3 linked regions of the Nothobranchius furzeri genome follow. The protein of the gene in region 2 binds, or shares a complex with, the protein of the main gene of each other region. Links are inferred from orthologs where the notes say so. Each region holds a gene or a part of one and is shown on either strand. Other genes may lie near its edges. The genes, in order: lsm3, snrpd1 and strap.

What was found.
Region 1: snrpd1 (region 2) and lsm3 share a complex: the UniProt entries of both Homo sapiens proteins name them as parts of the U4/U6-U5 tri-snRNP complex. The link is inferred for Nothobranchius furzeri from reciprocal best matches to the Homo sapiens genes SNRPD1 and LSM3.
Region 3: snrpd1 (region 2) and strap share a complex: the UniProt entries of both Homo sapiens proteins name them as parts of the SMN-Sm complex. The link is inferred for Nothobranchius furzeri from reciprocal best matches to the Homo sapiens genes SNRPD1 and STRAP.

What each region holds. Positions count from the first base shown.
Region 1 is NC_091743.1:73,197,530-73,203,115, forward strand, and holds the start of lsm3 (U6 snRNA-associated Sm-like protein LSm3), read right to left. Parts: upstream 2,836-5,586; 5' UTR 2,770-2,835; coding exon 2,749-2,769; intron 1,548-2,748; coding exon 1,437-1,547; intron 991-1,436; coding exon 895-990; intron 547-894; coding exon 466-546; 3' UTR 1-465. UniProt on the Homo sapiens protein: Plays a role in pre-mRNA splicing as component of the U4/U6-U5 tri-snRNP complex that is involved in spliceosome assembly, and as component of the precatalytic spliceosome (spliceosome B complex).
Region 2 is NC_091759.1:18,893,523-18,898,586, forward strand, and holds snrpd1 (small nuclear ribonucleoprotein Sm D1), read right to left. Parts: upstream 3,487-5,064; 5' UTR 3,363-3,486; coding exon 3,349-3,362; intron 2,804-3,348; coding exon 2,727-2,803; intron 2,394-2,726; coding exon 2,193-2,393; intron 1,920-2,192; coding exon 1,843-1,919; 3' UTR 1,618-1,842; downstream 1-1,617. Other genes in the region: gamma-glutamylcyclotransferase, read right to left, coding at 1,005-1,121. UniProt on the Homo sapiens protein: Plays a role in pre-mRNA splicing as a core component of the spliceosomal U1, U2, U4 and U5 small nuclear ribonucleoproteins (snRNPs), the building blocks of the spliceosome.
Region 3 is NC_091741.1:63,715,852-63,721,437, reverse strand, and holds the start of strap (serine-threonine kinase receptor-associated protein), read right to left. Parts: upstream 3,507-5,586; 5' UTR 3,212-3,506; coding exon 3,100-3,211; intron 1,747-3,099; coding exon 1,611-1,746; intron 803-1,610; coding exon 721-802; intron 458-720; coding exon 385-457; intron 146-384; coding exon 46-145; intron 1-45. UniProt on the Homo sapiens protein: The SMN complex catalyzes the assembly of small nuclear ribonucleoproteins (snRNPs), the building blocks of the spliceosome, and thereby plays an important role in the splicing of cellular pre-mRNAs.

The sequences.
Region 1 (5,586 bases), on a different chromosome or scaffold from region 2:
TCAAACCTGAGCATGACTAAATCATAAAACACTAACGTCATGTAAAAGAAAAAGAATGTTCTGGGACTCAAATGCAATCATTTAGCTAAAAATCAACATAAAAGTTGAGCAATTTAACAAACATTTCGCTCACAAGGGGACCCGAGTCTTTATAAACACTGGAATGACTCAATCGGAACTGATAAGATTCAGAAAAATGTTTTTCTACTAAAAATAATAGTATCTACTGAGGCCGATTCTTACAATCCCAGAATGTGTCAAAAAATAAAAAAAAGTGTCCTCACATCATACTTCCTGGGTTTTTCCCCCCTCAGACATTTTGCCCTAGAGAAGAGCCTCTGATTCACATGAAATTTAAAGATGAAATAACAGTCTAGCATAAGGAAAATGAAGATTTATAACACTCTCCTACAAAAATGGACACTTCCCAGAAGCAGTTACATCATCCTGTCAGGCATGGGGGGCTTAGCCGACTCGGAGAGGCGGAGCTACGAGGACAACGCCGTCTCCTCTGACAAACAACATGGGGATGTTCCTCTTGGTAGACTAAAGAAACAAATACAGTAAAAACATTTAAATAACAGATATTTTATTTAAATACTCACTAAAGTACCGTCAAATTTAAATAAAACTTGAGTTTCTGATCATGAACAATAATGAAACCTCGTAGAATCTTAAAATTCTGTTTTATTACTTTCTGCAGATCTATTCAGCGTTATGTTAAAGTGACAAGTTAACATCGTTTAACGTTTCTGCATCTGATGGATCTTTAAGCATCACCCAACAGTGGCACAAGTTTGCCACTAAGCAAACACAGCAAAGAGTCCAAAACAAAAGCTGTTCAGTAGAAATGTGGCTAGAGAGGTTTTTCTATGTTTGTTCATAAAAACTGACCTTATAAAGTTCTTCATACGTCTCCTCATCAATCTCCACTGTTGTCACCGTCTCCTCCACATCCCCCAGGATCATATTTAAGTGTTGGTCATACGCCTGGACCAGATGGCAAACATTAGTTAGGACATACAGGTGAAACTGGACAAAAGAGAATATGGTGCAAAAGTCCATTTATGACAGTAATCAAGCTCAGATGGAGAGACCATCTACAGGCTCAGGAACCCTCTGCAGGTGTTCTGGATTCATCAGCTGATAAAAGTCTGACACTAGAATATTTACCTGAACACAATATTCTAATTGTCTGAGATTATGAATGTGGGGTTTTCATCAGCTGAATGCCATAATCATCACAAATAAAGGCTGAAATATCTGGGTTTGCGTGGAATGAGTCTGTCTCATAGATTAGTTTCACCTTTTAAGTTGTTTTACTGACATTAGAATTTTCAGTCTTATTTTTTTTACCTGTTTTATCAGCAAGTATTGTGAAAAAACTGGATCTTCTGAACCGTGTGTGTGTGTGTGTGTGTGTGTGTGTGTCGTACATGTAGTCGACCGCGGAGCTCCCGGTCATTCCTCATCTTCACGTAGATCCGCTCATCCAGACTGAGCCTGATCAAATCGAGAGGCTCCTCCACCGTGTTGGTAGGTGGTTGCTGTGGAACACATTAAAATAATCATCAATGTACGGATTCCATTTTTTATTGGCATATTCATCAAATAGCAAACATTTAAAAACAAAACTAGTCGGTTTTTTTACACTCACCGGAAATGTTTTTAAAAATCTAGATTAAAAATATCCAATAGGGATGGACAATATATCGGCATCAATATCGGTATCGGCCGATGTTAGTCATTTTTAAACATATCGGTATTGGTCCCATAAATAAAACCGGGCCGATATTAATTTTTCTATCTCGTCTCCATTTGTTTATCAGTTTCAGAGGGTGAGGGGGGTGATGTGTATTTGTTTAATCATGTGACAGTGATTGTAATCACCTCAGAAGCGTAAATGTGTGTGTTGTGTGTACACAATAATGTAAATCCAGCTTTAATAATTTTCATTCTATATAAAATCTGCAGATTTTGGAAGCATTAATGTCAGTGTATATCGGTATCGGCAAATATCGGTTATCGGCCATAACAGTGATCTTAATATCGGATATCAGTATCGGTCCAAAAATTTATATCGATGCATCACTAATATCCAAACATTGTTTAGCTGAGTCTTTATATTGTTATTTATTCATTTTTGTTGTGTCTGTACAGCTTTGTTAAGGCTTGCCTTTAAAGACCAGGGCTTAGAAAACAAACCATCTGATAGGAAATGTAAAGAGAGTGTGCAGAAGTACTGATCAAACCAATTAAACGTCTCATGACTTATTAACACTATGGTATCTTTGTCACTAATATCTTTATTTTCAATTAAATTGCACATTACAGCTTAGAAATATTCATTTTAAATCATAAACTTTGATCCAAACAGTTTGTTGAGACTCGTTACTTACTAAAGTTAATAACTAAACACAATAGTTAAAGAAAACTCAATATTAATTATTTGTCCAATTTGCTAGACAAACATAACGGGAAAAGTCATTCATTAATCTTTCATTTGTGAGAATCTGGTAACTTTTACGCGCTTACTGATAATTTTAGGATGAGCTGAACGCTAGGTGAATGTGGGCTAACCGGTTTCACAGGCCTAAACACAATTAAACCGTGTTAGCAATTAGCAAAATGCTACGCTTGTATCCTTAGATTAAAGAAATGCATAAAGTTAATAATGCGCGACGAAGTCAAGCAACTGCACAGACGCTAAAACGAACAAAAGTGTATAAACACGGCAACCAAACGAACCTGCTCCACTTCATCCGCCATGATGCTTTAACTGGCCTAGTGCCTCAATGGGCTCTGAGGTCGCAGTCATATATACGTAGACGCCCCGTGGACGGCTGCCGTAGTGGCCGACCGCCATCTTAGTTGGGTCTCCATTCGCCCCCACTGCATTAATTTCTACTTAGGAAGGTGCTTAGCCAACTAAAAAACGCATTTTATCAAGCTTTTTCACAAAAGCTGATACAATATATGGCATGATAATTAAAATATAAATATAATTTAACAAAATAAATTAAAATATATTTAAATATAGAATTCCATGAGGTAGGCTTGTAAAGTTACTAGTAATCCCGCTTGATCTGTTTTCAAATTGTACGCCGGTTGTTGTAACTGTAGGCTGCACATAAACGGGCATAGACCTACAGGTCTCCCATTAGATGTTTAGAGTATCTTGATCTTGATGCTGTGAGGGTCGCTAGAACGGGCTATTTTGCTGACATCATTGATACAAACTGTAACAATTCAAAAATTCTCCATAAAACGCTTAACTCTGTCTCAGTGTACCAGGACTCTGGCATCATTTTTTCTACTGCTGCTGGAGAATGTGATGACTTTCACAACTTTTTCACTAGCAAAGTCTCTGCCATTAGAGCTGCTATTTTTGGTTCATCTACAGACCCTGATCCAGTTACTCCAATACAGTCCACCCTGAGCTATTTTAATACTCTCTTATTCTGAGTTGTCTAAGCTTGTCTCAGGGCAGAAGTCGTCTAGCTCTCCACTCGATGTTTTGCCACCTCGTCTGTGGAAGGAGGCCTTTCCGTGTTTGGGTCAGTCTCTGCGTCTGATCATTAACGGCAGCCTGAGCACTGGAGTGGTTCCAACTGCATTAAAAGCTGCAGTCAGTAAACCGATCCTGAAGAAACCAGAATCTGATGTCTCTGTGCAGACAATTACAGGCCAATCTCTATTCTCCTTTTCAATTTGAAACTTCTGGAGAAGGTTGTGTGTCAGCAGCTTTGCTGAGAGACTGGGTAGGCATATCAGGATCTGCTCTGAAGTGGTTCTCCTCTTATCTGTCTGAGGGTTAGGGTTAGGGTTAGGTGCTTCTCTGTGGCCGTCTCCAAGTTTGGGTCCTCCACCACCTCCCTCGCCCATGGTGTCCCACAAGGTTCTGTGCTGGGCGCTCTACTCTTCCTCCTCTATCTGCTCCCTCTTCAGCACATCCTGAGCTCCTTCAAAGAAATCTCCAACCATCTTATGCAGATGACATCCAACTGTACATCTCCTTTAAGCCCCATGAGATGTCGAAGTTGCAAGAACTTGGCAGTGCATTTCAGAATCACTTGTTTTTCTCCACTGATTTATTGCTTTTAACCATTCATTAGAAAATGTGTGCAGGTGCAGTTTGGGACACATGATTTATTTATTTATTTATTTTTATCCAAACCCTTATGTATGACTCATTGTCTGGTGACAGGACAGGAGCATGGAAACTGGTGGGCTGCTCTGCAAGCTCCATGCCCTTCTGGCTCAGTGATCTGAAGTTCAGCAGATTTCTATAAAAAAGTTCAACAGTGCTGTGAGAAAGTTAAGCATTGTAACGTGATGAAGGAGCTATTCCTCCAAGGTTATTTACTTTCTCTCCACAGATGCCTCTGACACAGTACTAGGCTGCATGACACTGCCTCAAGATCATGCATTCACTTCTAAAACTGTTTTCTTTCCAGCAAGAGAAGAATGAAGATAAAGGACTCTTTTCTTTTAATAAATCAAAGAACTCTATTTTTAATAAAAGCTAATCAAAACAAAGTGTTAGTCAATAATATAATGTTGACCAATCTGTGAAATAATAATGTTAAGATTAATATGCTTTAATAAGTAATATGACTTTAATCTAGTGCACTAGACATGCTGACTACACATAATGTAAATGCATGGCACATTGCTGTTACTGATTCAGTCAGAACCTTCCTTTCTGAAGCGTGGCATAGTCTCTGTGGTGTTTATAAATCTGCCAGCTTTGATTCGACCAGAAATCAAAACATCCAGATTAATAAAACCAGTTCCAACGCCATCTTAGTTCAGTTCTCAAGCTCTCACTGGAGTTCACCGCATGCTAAGCGAAGTATCGGACCGGCCATCCGGACTTCCTTTTTAAGCCGAGAACCAACAAGCTGGATAAAATCTGTTGCATTTTACCAACCAAGCAACAGTTCCTTTGAGAATAAAAGCTGAACTCACTGACCCTAGGGGGGTCCATTTGACGCTGTCAACCAACTGTCGCTTTTTACCTGGAGACAATCCAAAGACTAGTTTGTCGTACTGCTGACGCTGTTTCATCGGCTCCAGTACCGAAAGGGGGGTCCGAGGACCTGGCGATCTGGATCTGTACGGAGGTCTCATCAAGGGTATGTGTGGAGCGACAAATATGGCGTCTCATGTGTTTATGAAACTCCGATCAAACTCTGATCATAGCTAGAAGCAAAACATCACAACATCATTCAGACTTGCTTCTCCGGGTACGAGAGTTCTGATTAAACATCACTCACACACACCATTCATCTCACGTCTCATTACACCAGATCCATCCATCACTCAGAGTAGGGTTAGTCTTGTTTAAAATTGTTTAAATTGTTTAGAAATTAATCATCTTAAACATTTTAAAGGTCTCTCTCTCTTCTCTCTCAGTTAATACAAAGTGTTACACAATCCCTGCAATAAAAAGTTCCAATCTTCTGGTTAAATAACTCAACGGTCCTTAAAATTGATTTCATATTCACTATGGAATCTTAATGTCTCACGAGTCCTTAATTAGATGTAAATTAACTTCTTTTACAGCATCAATATTGCTTTTTA
Region 2 (5,064 bases):
AGATCTTCCAGAAACAACAACTCATCTTTTTGACTGTGTACTCATTCCAAACGGTTTTGGCAGTTTTTCTGTGACTTCATCTGCTGTAAATTCTATTTCAAGTTTAACATTTATTGGAAGCACGTTTTGTTTGGCCTTCACCAGAATATTTTTAATAACTCTATTAAATTTCTTATTAATCTGTTATTTCTTTTGGCCAAATTTCATAGCCATAAATATAAATTTCTTAAAAGCAAACCCAACTTTAACTGTTTCTTAGTGGAGGTCAAGCATTATATGGACTCTATCCGGTTTTCACAAAACCAGAAGGCTGTAAAGACTACTGAAATATGTACCCGCTTTAAGATAATCTGATCCTGATTTATTACTATTTCTGTGTTGATGTCCTCTATAGATATATGCTACTGTAATCTGTATTTTTCTGTACACCCACCTTTTTTATACCCCCCTGGCACTTTGTTTTCTTTTTTTGTTCACATCTCACTTTTCTTATTCGTTGTCAACTGTGAGCTTGTAACCTCATTGTCACATTGTATATTCTATTTTTGTTAATAAAGGTTTGTTAAAAAAAGTCAATCACGTGACCAAGCGTAAAAAAACCGGCAAGCCCTGCGAAAAAAAACAAAAAAACACCGGCAAGCACTGAGCGCTGATCACCGGTGATCTAATAACCTGCGCAGAACTGGCTCATCTCGGACACGGCCACTGTCTCGTGCCTCCCGGAAGTGAACTGAACTGGTCATGAAAGTAAATACACTGATTTTCATTAATGAAGTGAAAGTCGGCAGACAATTATAATTTTCGTCACGAGTAGGGTTATTTTATCATTTACATATTTATATATAAGACGCAAGACCCGCTGTTATTAGCCTGACCCGCCAGCCCGTGATCCTTATGGGATTGTAATGGTTCCCTGTGTAGAATTAAACAGGCTAGGCTCTAGCAGGCTAGCCACTGAGCACTAACTTTAGGTGAGAAACTGGCGACATATTTAACGAACAAACCTTCAGGCGACCAGTAGAGACGAACGTAGCCGAAGGGTTTTTCAGCTGCAGCCTTTCCTTTAATAAGTTGCTTCCATACGCGAAGTACAGGAAACGGCCGACGCTAGCCACAGACATTGTGATAAAAATACTCCTGCTCGAAAAGAACCTGGTGCCTTCGACATGTGACGAATATGTTAAAAGATGATCGTTTAATATAAAATAACTAGCTTTGGGCAATGATTTACGTCATTCCACGAACCTCTACGTTAGCCCGGCAAGCCATCCTATAGGCTACCATCTACCAGGTCACTTTTCCTACACCGCCATCTAGCGGTGACTTTGGTCCCCGGTGTAATGTAAAACAACGTTCCCCCACCTACATGTGCAGTTTTACCAATTATCACAACTGATGTGAGAAACTGCACCTAAAAGTTGACTAAATAAACAGTTTTGCTTTATTTTGTCAACTGTAGTGGGATAAAGGTCTGATGACTAAATAATAATTTCATAAAATACATTTTTATTTTAGAGCCTGGCCTGCCAGACTCATCTGTGTAACTTTATACACAAGGAAGCGTGGGGCTGGCTAGTACACCAGTAGCATTGGGATCTGATTGGGACAACACAGTAGTTAATGATGCTAGTTTATGTGCTGACACTTTATTCAGTATTAAAAACCAACACAAAGAAGTCAGAGTAATTTGTCCTCTTAACCAGAAGTTTAATGTACAAAAAAAAAAGTCCAACTAAAAAGCACACAGAAATTCACAAAACGTTTCTGCTTTAATGAAGCAAAGGAAAAAAAAAATCCTGTACAAACAGTGAAGTGTTAGGAATCAACAGAACAGCCTTGCGATCATCTCCTTGGTCCACCTCGTCCCCGTCCCCTTCCTCTCCCACGTCCCCGTCCCCTGCCTCGTCCCCGTCCAGCCACTGAGGAGACAGATGAGCAGCATCAGCACAAGTGTCACAAACACCATATTGCTCATTTAGCATCTGGTCCTTTAAACCACTCCTTAAATTATGTCGTACAGTTAATGTTACAATTTAGTTCTTTTAATATAAACCCATGCAGAAACCTGTGCAAACACACCAGTTACATCACTGTGAAAACCTTTTTGTTCACGCAAAGGAGAATTCAGATTCACTTTCTAAAAAAAACACCTTAAGATAAAATTCAACTCAACATATCTTATGCATTTTCACCTTTCTCACCTGCTTCTCTCTTCTTGGACTTGATCTTTGGCTCGATGTCAACCAGCAAGGTGTCCAGAGGGAGGCTGTCTGGGAGGATGAAGTAGCGAATATTGTTGCCGCGGATACTCAGCGACTCCAGCTGAGTGGGCTCCCTGTTTTTTAGGGTCATTTTTACCGCCTTCAGGTGAGTGTTCATGCTCACATCAACACCTGAAAAACAGAGAGGAGGGATGAAACACCAGCCATAAGTACATCTGGCACTTGAGTTTAGGATTAATTTTACAGATTAGAAAATATTTTAATTTGCAGGTTGTGTGTGTGCTTGTCTAGGGTTTGTTAAACATAAAAAAATCCCATCAAATAGGATTAAATAATACAAAAACATACATTGTGCAGATTTATCTGTACTAAAGTCTGACTATGAGGATGAAAGCACAGCTGTGGGTATTAATCTACTTAATGCATACAAATATATGTCATTAGTATTGAAATTAAAGAGCTTCAGCTGACTCCTGGCTTATCTGACCACCTTTATGAGCTCACCTGTGATGGTGCCGTGAACCTGGGTGCCATTTTTCAGCTCAATGGTTACGGTTTCATGGCTGAGCTTCATCAAAAACCTGTGGGCATCATTGCACACGATGACTGAGTGAAAACATCACAACGTAATTGGGACATTTCTCGCAGAGGCTAGATAGTAGCTTAGCTTTAGCTATCTAGTTAGCCACCGATGGCTATTAGGTGACTTTTAAAGCGTTTGAAACAATAAAAACACTGATTATCCACCAGTTTAACAGCTAAACTAAATATTTACAAAATGAACTCTAACAAATTATGTTAAAACCCCATTTTGAGCCGCTTTAGTTGATTGACAAGCTAATGCTACAACGGTTGAATGAGTTAACGTCTAGCCTAATATTTTTACTTATTGAAATAGAAATGTACTTAAAGTAGACGTTCATCTATGTTGATAATTAAAACTGTGCGTAGGAACGTGTTTTAAACCCTCAGCGGTCGCCGTAACGTCGCTCAGGATCCATTACATTTTTCCACTTCCCGCCTCATCACCGTTTAATCAAATCCCAATCCATCCGGCCACATCACTTTCATTTGATCAGTTTACGTTAATTCTCCGGTTAATCCGGGACCTCCCGCTGCCGCCTACCTGACTAGTTTCATGATGATGGAAAACAGTAGAGAAAAATCCTCCACCGAAGACAAAAATTACAGCGATCGAGTGAAAACACAGGCCGCTGTTGTATTCGAAACGTTCAGGGATGTGACGTCACTAAAAGGCGACAACAAAGACGAGGGGGTGTAATTACCGCCATCTACTGGTGGAATTGTGATCCGTTCTAACACTTTTGTTTTATTTTTCTGTGCAACATGTTTTACAGTAGTGTTAAAATCCACAATCTTTATTTTACTACTAATTTATTGGAATCTGGCAGTTAAAAGGTCAAATATCCAAAACAAAGATCCCTAAATGATCAATATTTAGGAAGATCACTACCGTTACCTACTGCTGGATTCGTGATCTGCAGAATTTGCAACCAAAAGGTCAAAACGGTGTTTATGTGCAACATGTGTTAAAGTCGTAGTAAAATTTACATTTTTACTGATTTATCAAAATCTGGAAGATGAAAAAAGGTAAAATATCCACAACAATTAACCCTAACTGATCAAGACCTAATTCATTCAACAGATCAGGAGACAACTTCAGAGAACTTGTCGCAGTTGAATAAAACCACAAAGCAGCACTTTCAGCTCATTTTATTAAGAGTAAACTCTGCACCGATACTTAAGAGATTTGGCCACACATCAAATCTGTCTTCTTGAGACCTGCTGGGAATGTATCAAGTATAATCAATGAGAGTGCTTTTTTTTATTCCAAAGATGTAGGCTGAGACCAATAAATCATAAAGTGTGAAGCACAAAAAGAAAAACGGCACAAGGCCATTAAACTCAGCATTATTCCACTTCTAATAATAATAAAAATAAATAAAACCGTCATCCTCTCTGTGTGTTGCCTGCACATGATTGACGCAACACGTTATTAATATTCTGGAGCAGAAAAAGTCTCGACTCAGTGCATCTGCTGTTGAACTCTAGAAAAGAAAATCTAATTATGCAGTGGTTTAAAACAGAAGTCATGAAATATTACAGCAGGTGAGCACGTGTTCCTGGAAATCTTTCATGTGGAAACAGATAATGTCCTTTTGGGGTTTCTCTCCACCTTAACCATAGCAACTGAGTAATCGATCTTCAGATCAGCAGTCGTGTTTTATTCTCCTGTAAACGTTACAGCGGGGCTCAAACAGGAAGTCACACGTCCAACAAAATAAAATCAAAGGTCAGCTGGACGTGAACATTCAGATAAAGGGGTTAAACGTCGGGCCGCTGCGCCATGAAATGTTTTAGGCTTTTAAACTTTGATTTAGCGTGTTTAAAAAACAATGTTAACAAATAGAAACTAAAGAAGGCACACACACCAAAAGAAGATCCTCACTATAATAAGGAAGTGATGATAAATGATTTATTTCTAAAGCAGCTAATAAATACGAGTCAAACGATGCTGTAGTGTGAACGCCGATATGCTAAAAGCGTATAAACCTAAAGTGACTGAAAATGAAGGTAAACAGCTCAGAGATGATAAAATGAATTTCGTCGACTTGTGGGCTGCACGGTGGCGCAGCTGTTAGCACTGTTGCCTCGCAGCAAGAAGGTTGCAGGTTCGAAACTCGGCTGCGGCCTTTCTGCGTGGAGTTGCGTGTTCTCCCCGCGCACGCGTGGGTTTCCCCCACAGATCACAACACGCCCTACAAGTTAAATAAATCGTACGTCGCTTTGGATAAAAGCGTCTGCCAAATAAATAAACATA
Region 3 (5,586 bases), on a different chromosome or scaffold from region 2:
ACAAAGAAATCAGATTTCTACAAAGCATCCAGGAGAAAAACTAACCGAATGGTTTTGTCGTCAGCAGCAGAAAGGATCTGCTTGTCATTGTTACACCACAGAGCTTTCTTTATGGCTGCACTGTGACCTGCAATCTCCTGTGAAGCTGGAACAAACACACAAGTGTTAAAGGAAAAAGTGTTGGCTCACATCTAGTATTCTTTTGGTGTGCGTGTGTGTGTGTGACTGAGTGGGTGGGTAAGTAACTCCACTAATGTTTATGATTAGTGTAAACCATATTTCTTTAATTAAAACCCATAGTAACTCTAAACACAGCAATCTGATGTCTATGACCTGTTCAGAAGTGTTTGGCCCCGCCTTCTAGCCAGCAGTGTGTAGCCTTACGTGCTTCAGGTTGGCTGAGGTCATAAATACGCAGCAGCTTGTCATTTCCTGCTGTTAGCAAACAGTTGCTGTCCTGTGGAATAGAAAAAGAAACCCACAAGTGTTTTATTTTGTAAGGATGTGAACAATGATTAGCTGAGGAGATGTGTTTAATCAATCATCAGATTAATCCATGTGTTGAACAAATTATTCACTTGGTAACTAAAAATAGGTGTGAGCCCTGGAGGCTCCCACTTTTTGATCTTGGTGTTGGTGTACAAAGGCATCTGTGAAAAAAATGAGCAGTAAAATACCTGAATTAACATATGAAGGATGCTGATGCTAAGCAAAACTGACCTGAGTGAAGTTGACAGACTTCACAATGTGCTTGTGTGCCAGTGAGAGGACCTCGTCTCCACTTACGGCATCCCACACCTTCCTGGAAAGCAAAATGTTCACCATTATAGATTTATAGTAGCCTGGCAAGCCATCCTATATGCACAATTATTTTGCTTCGACAAATGACTGTCTTCTAGATTCTAGGCTAGATGTATAGTAGTTTATCGAATAAATGAAACTAAACATTTAATAGAAAACACGTAACAGAAACAAAGAAAGGTTGGTTTTCTTTTTTTTTAAAACACATGCAAAACAGATCGTTTTTCTTCACCAGGACTTTGAGGATGCTGCTGGTGGGAATTTTAGCATGATTTAAACACGTTTTTTTTTTTTCCTGAAATGTTAAAATTAAGAGTTACTCTGAAAACAAGATCATTTTTATGACACAAGGTGAGATCTTGCATGGAGCCCAAGGTTGAGGGAGATTGTGAGTGATCTTGTATTTTTTTTTTCATTTTGTAACAGTTGATCTTCTTTCACCTAGGTGCACCACTTGCACCAAGTGACTTGCTGTATTTTTCTGTTTTGAGGTTTCTAAGATAACACATAAAGAACAAGAAAAAAGTTAAGAAGCTATGATTTGTCTGGTAAATGGGATAGTGAAATTCTTTTTCAGTGGTTCAGTTTACTTCCTTTTTGAAATATGTATGTCCAACAATCTCAATGAGTCCAAACGCACATTTGCAGAGTGTGTGAGTGAAGGGGAGTAGAAAGAGAATATATTATTAATAAAAGACAACTTGTTTTTACAGCTAAACGTTTTAAGAGTGTTAAAAACAAGAAAAAAGTGCATTTTCCAACAAAATTCAAATCATGCATCTCTACATCGAGAGCTGAACCCCACTCACGCTGTGAAGTCTGCAGCAGCTGTGGCTGCCTTGGTGGCGTCTGTATTCAGAGTGGCTCCCCAAACCGCACCTTTGTGACCCAGAAACGTTCCGATCCAGTCCCCTGTGTCTCCCTGGCGCAACATGGGCTTGCCATCTAACAAAAGGAAGAAGGGGATGGTGATGTACTTGTTAAAACTCCCATGAAAAGATCATTAATATGAACTTTCTCAAGACATTGAGTGGCTTTCAAGCAGCTGGTGTAAAATGTTAAAAATCAGTTTTGTATTAATCTGAGCTGAGAAACTGGGTGTTTCTCAAGGTCAAGGAACCTCGCCTTGATGCCTTGGTCCCAGCCCAGTTGCCTAAGAGATACGTCATCAGGAACCGCCAAGACGTGTTCCAATGTTCATGTGCTACAGAGGCGTCTGTCCTTCGTTTGTCCGCCGTTTAGCTAACTGACTGAGAATACATGGGAGGTGTCTTGTTGCCTTCTCTGACTGAAACATTTCTCAGAATACACCACAGTATTTTCAAATGAATGGCGGATCAGGAGCCGGCAGCTACTTCAGGGGCAAATTTCCAGTTTAAATGCAAGTCAACTAATTGTAGCTATCAGGCTGATATCTGAAATATTTTTTTAGATTCAAAGCAATTATCTATGGTTGGTCAGTTGCTTTGCAGTTGCAGATTCGGTGGCAAGCGGGTAGTAACTTGCTTACATATTTAATTTAACCAATATATACATAATTTAAAAAAGTTAAAGGCTAGTTATACATATATATAAATCTAACTTTACCTCACATGTCACATGACGTGATGGCGGGTCACGTGAGATAAGTCTGTTCCATGTAACCGTTTTCTTTAATCCTTGCAGGACAGTGTCCTCTTAAGCACTGAGAAACAGCCACTGCCTTAAATTATATAGAATGTGTAAAGAGGACCAAACTCAACAAATGTTAAAGCTGCTAGCAGAGGCTTATTAGGGGCACCATGGTAACCATCAGTAGCTTATTACTTTCGCCATGGTATTCACCTTCCCGTTTCCCTCACTCCCTGACAGAACACTTGGTGAGGGTCATATGGCTATTCTGACAGAAAGGGAAGCCTAAGACGAATGGTGATGATTTTACTGTTTTTTTTTTTTTTTTTTTGTAATGGAAGAGAATTTTTCAGGTAAAAATTATCTCCACTTTTTGCTTGGAAACAAGTAGGTGAACACAGAGGAAAACTCCTACACGATGACAAATTTGTATTTATATAAAGTTGTGAAAGAAATGTGATTCTTCAAAGAATGAAACCAGATCGTGAACTGAACACATCTGAGGTGATTCAAGTAATGCAGATAGGATTTTCATAAAAAAAGACATCTGAAATAAATCGTTACAAAGTTTCTTTTGAGGCGCAGGTAAGTCAGGGACCAAAGTGAGAGAAGTCTGTGTGAGTGAGACAGGTAAATGAAGATCCTGAGCAGGGCAGCACCTTGGATTTGGACGGCTTGAGGACTCACCTTTGCAGGCGCTGATGAGGAAGTAGCCAAAAGGAGTGATTCCACTGAAAGCCAGGTCCACCACAGGCCGGGTGTGACCGGAGCAGGTGAGAGGGGTCTGTCTCATCGCCATGCTCCTCCAGCTGGACAGAGGACAGAAGACCGAAAGAGGAAGAGTTAGCTGGTCGCTAACGGCTGGCTTACAAGCTAGGTCGGCTAACCAGTAGCCGAGGAATACGAAACGTCTAATTGGCGCGTTGTTATCAAAGCTGTAACGTCCTGCCGTTGTCTGTTAATTAATCTTTTAACAGCCGAGAATTCAAAGTTATTCTGACCAAATGTCGGCTCTCCCCCAGCAAAAGAATGGCTGTCGTGCTAATAGCTACAACATTGCAACTAACTAGCAACGTGCACTGCAGCGTCACAGTGACAGTGTAGTAAAAGAGTTGACGTAACGTAAGCGTGCGGTGCGACCCGTCGCCGCCATATTGTCAGAGTCATTTGGTAAAGCGCACACAGCTGAAAGCTGAGTCTGATTAAAAGTTCTCGACAGAGATACAACATTCCCGTTCTTCTGGCGAACATATATGACTGTGCGAAGGAGTGGGAGCTGTTTGAGCTGTAGTCTGGAAAACTGGGATTTAAAATTGGAATATTGCAGGAATGAATTGTGCTGCTTTGGAATGAAATAAAGTGGCAGGAAAAATAAAGTTTAGACACAGCAGTATTAGAATATGCATTAATGTAGTCAGTAATAATAATAATAATAATAATAATAATTATTATTATTATTATTATTATTATTAGTTCTCAAAATACATATATCATATTTTCCCGGTATTATAAACAGTCTGATCAGTTTTTCATATTCCCCATTTCATTTTTTTTCTACAGTAGGACTAGCCTGGCCTGCCAGACTCTGTGCAGAATTAAACAGAGGAGGAGTATGGCAGGCCAGGCTACAGTAGAAAACCATGAAGTCAGAGACCCATAATAAGCTTGTTGGATCCAGATTTTACACTTTAAATACAAAATAACCCAGTCTGGTTCTAATCCACCTACTACATTATATCAGGTATTTATTCAGTCTGCTGTTTATGTCTCAAAAACTTTAATTTCAAGGATCAGTGTATGTGACAGTGTGAGTGTCCTGTCACAGTGTCACGATTGATCATGTGCCCTGGCTACTTGACATAGGGGATGTCCTTTTGGCTGACTGGTATGAGTGCGTGACTCTCACCCAGGAGCCTGGGGATCAAATCCCGCCCGGGCCCTCATTTCTCCACCCTGCCACATTTATAACATTGTCTGTGGAGGTAAAAATAGCAATATTCTGTACTGTAGAAATAGAAACACGTATGGATTAATCATCAAATGATTTACATCCTGGTGTCTTCAGGGCAGTGCTCTCTCAATCTCTGGTCCTGGAGCTCTTCCATCCAGCATGTTTTAGTTGTTTCCCTGCTCCAGCACACCTGATTTGATGGCTGATACCAGTTCAGAAGACCATCAAGCCTCTAAGCAGGTCATGTGTATTAATTAATTTAGTTCAAATAGATAAATACAATAAAGTTGTTTCTGCATTAATCTGGCCTTGGAGAAGAGTATAGCACCTATGGGTCTGGCAGAATAAAACAGATGTTCTTCACCGACTTTCAGGTGTGAGAACGGAGAATGCCAGAGTCTGTGAAAATCCCTCCCCAGATGTGTGTGTGTTTATTTATGTGTTTAATAAATATTAGCTTATCTCTCAAGAGTAGTTTTTTTGGGGGGGGGGGGGGGGGGGGGGGGTTCCCACTCGGTGCTAGTATCCCTAGTTCAAAAGTGAGTGTCTCTAAGAGTTACATTGCAATATCCGGACTGTTTTACAAGTGTCCAACAGAAACATGCAATCGCCACACAGTGAAACAATAAAAACACGCTGGATATCGAGGACAAGAGTTGAAGAGCACTGCTTTATGACCTTAAAAAAGTGCTATGTAGCCTACTATCCAGTTTAATAACTTAAACTAGTTTCTGTTTATTTTGATGGGAAGAAAAGGGATTAAATCAAATGGTATGGCCTGTATTTGATATAGCGCCTTCTAGAGCCCTGGAACCCCCCAAGGCGCTTTACAACACAATCAGTCATTCACAGAGGTAGCCATATATATATTCCTTCTAAAATAAGATAAAATAAACAAATGAAATTTAAACCCTAAATCCTGAATTAGATTTAAAAAAATCAAATAATTATCTATAAATCCAAAGATAGAACACATCCACAATTAAACCTATAAGCTTTTAGGGTCCTACCCTACAATTGTAAATTTTTTCTTTTACCAAATGTAGAAGGAGGGTGAGTGTTGATTTTTGCTTTCTATCAGAAAATTTGGATCCCAGAGCTGGTGGTAGCGCATCCCTGTGATCTGCGTGTAATCGGTGCCCGGATGTTGTGGCAGCAGTTCACACTCCGCCCTCTGAGCGGCGAAAGAGCTCCAATTTCACCAGAAGAAGTCTGATCAGGAA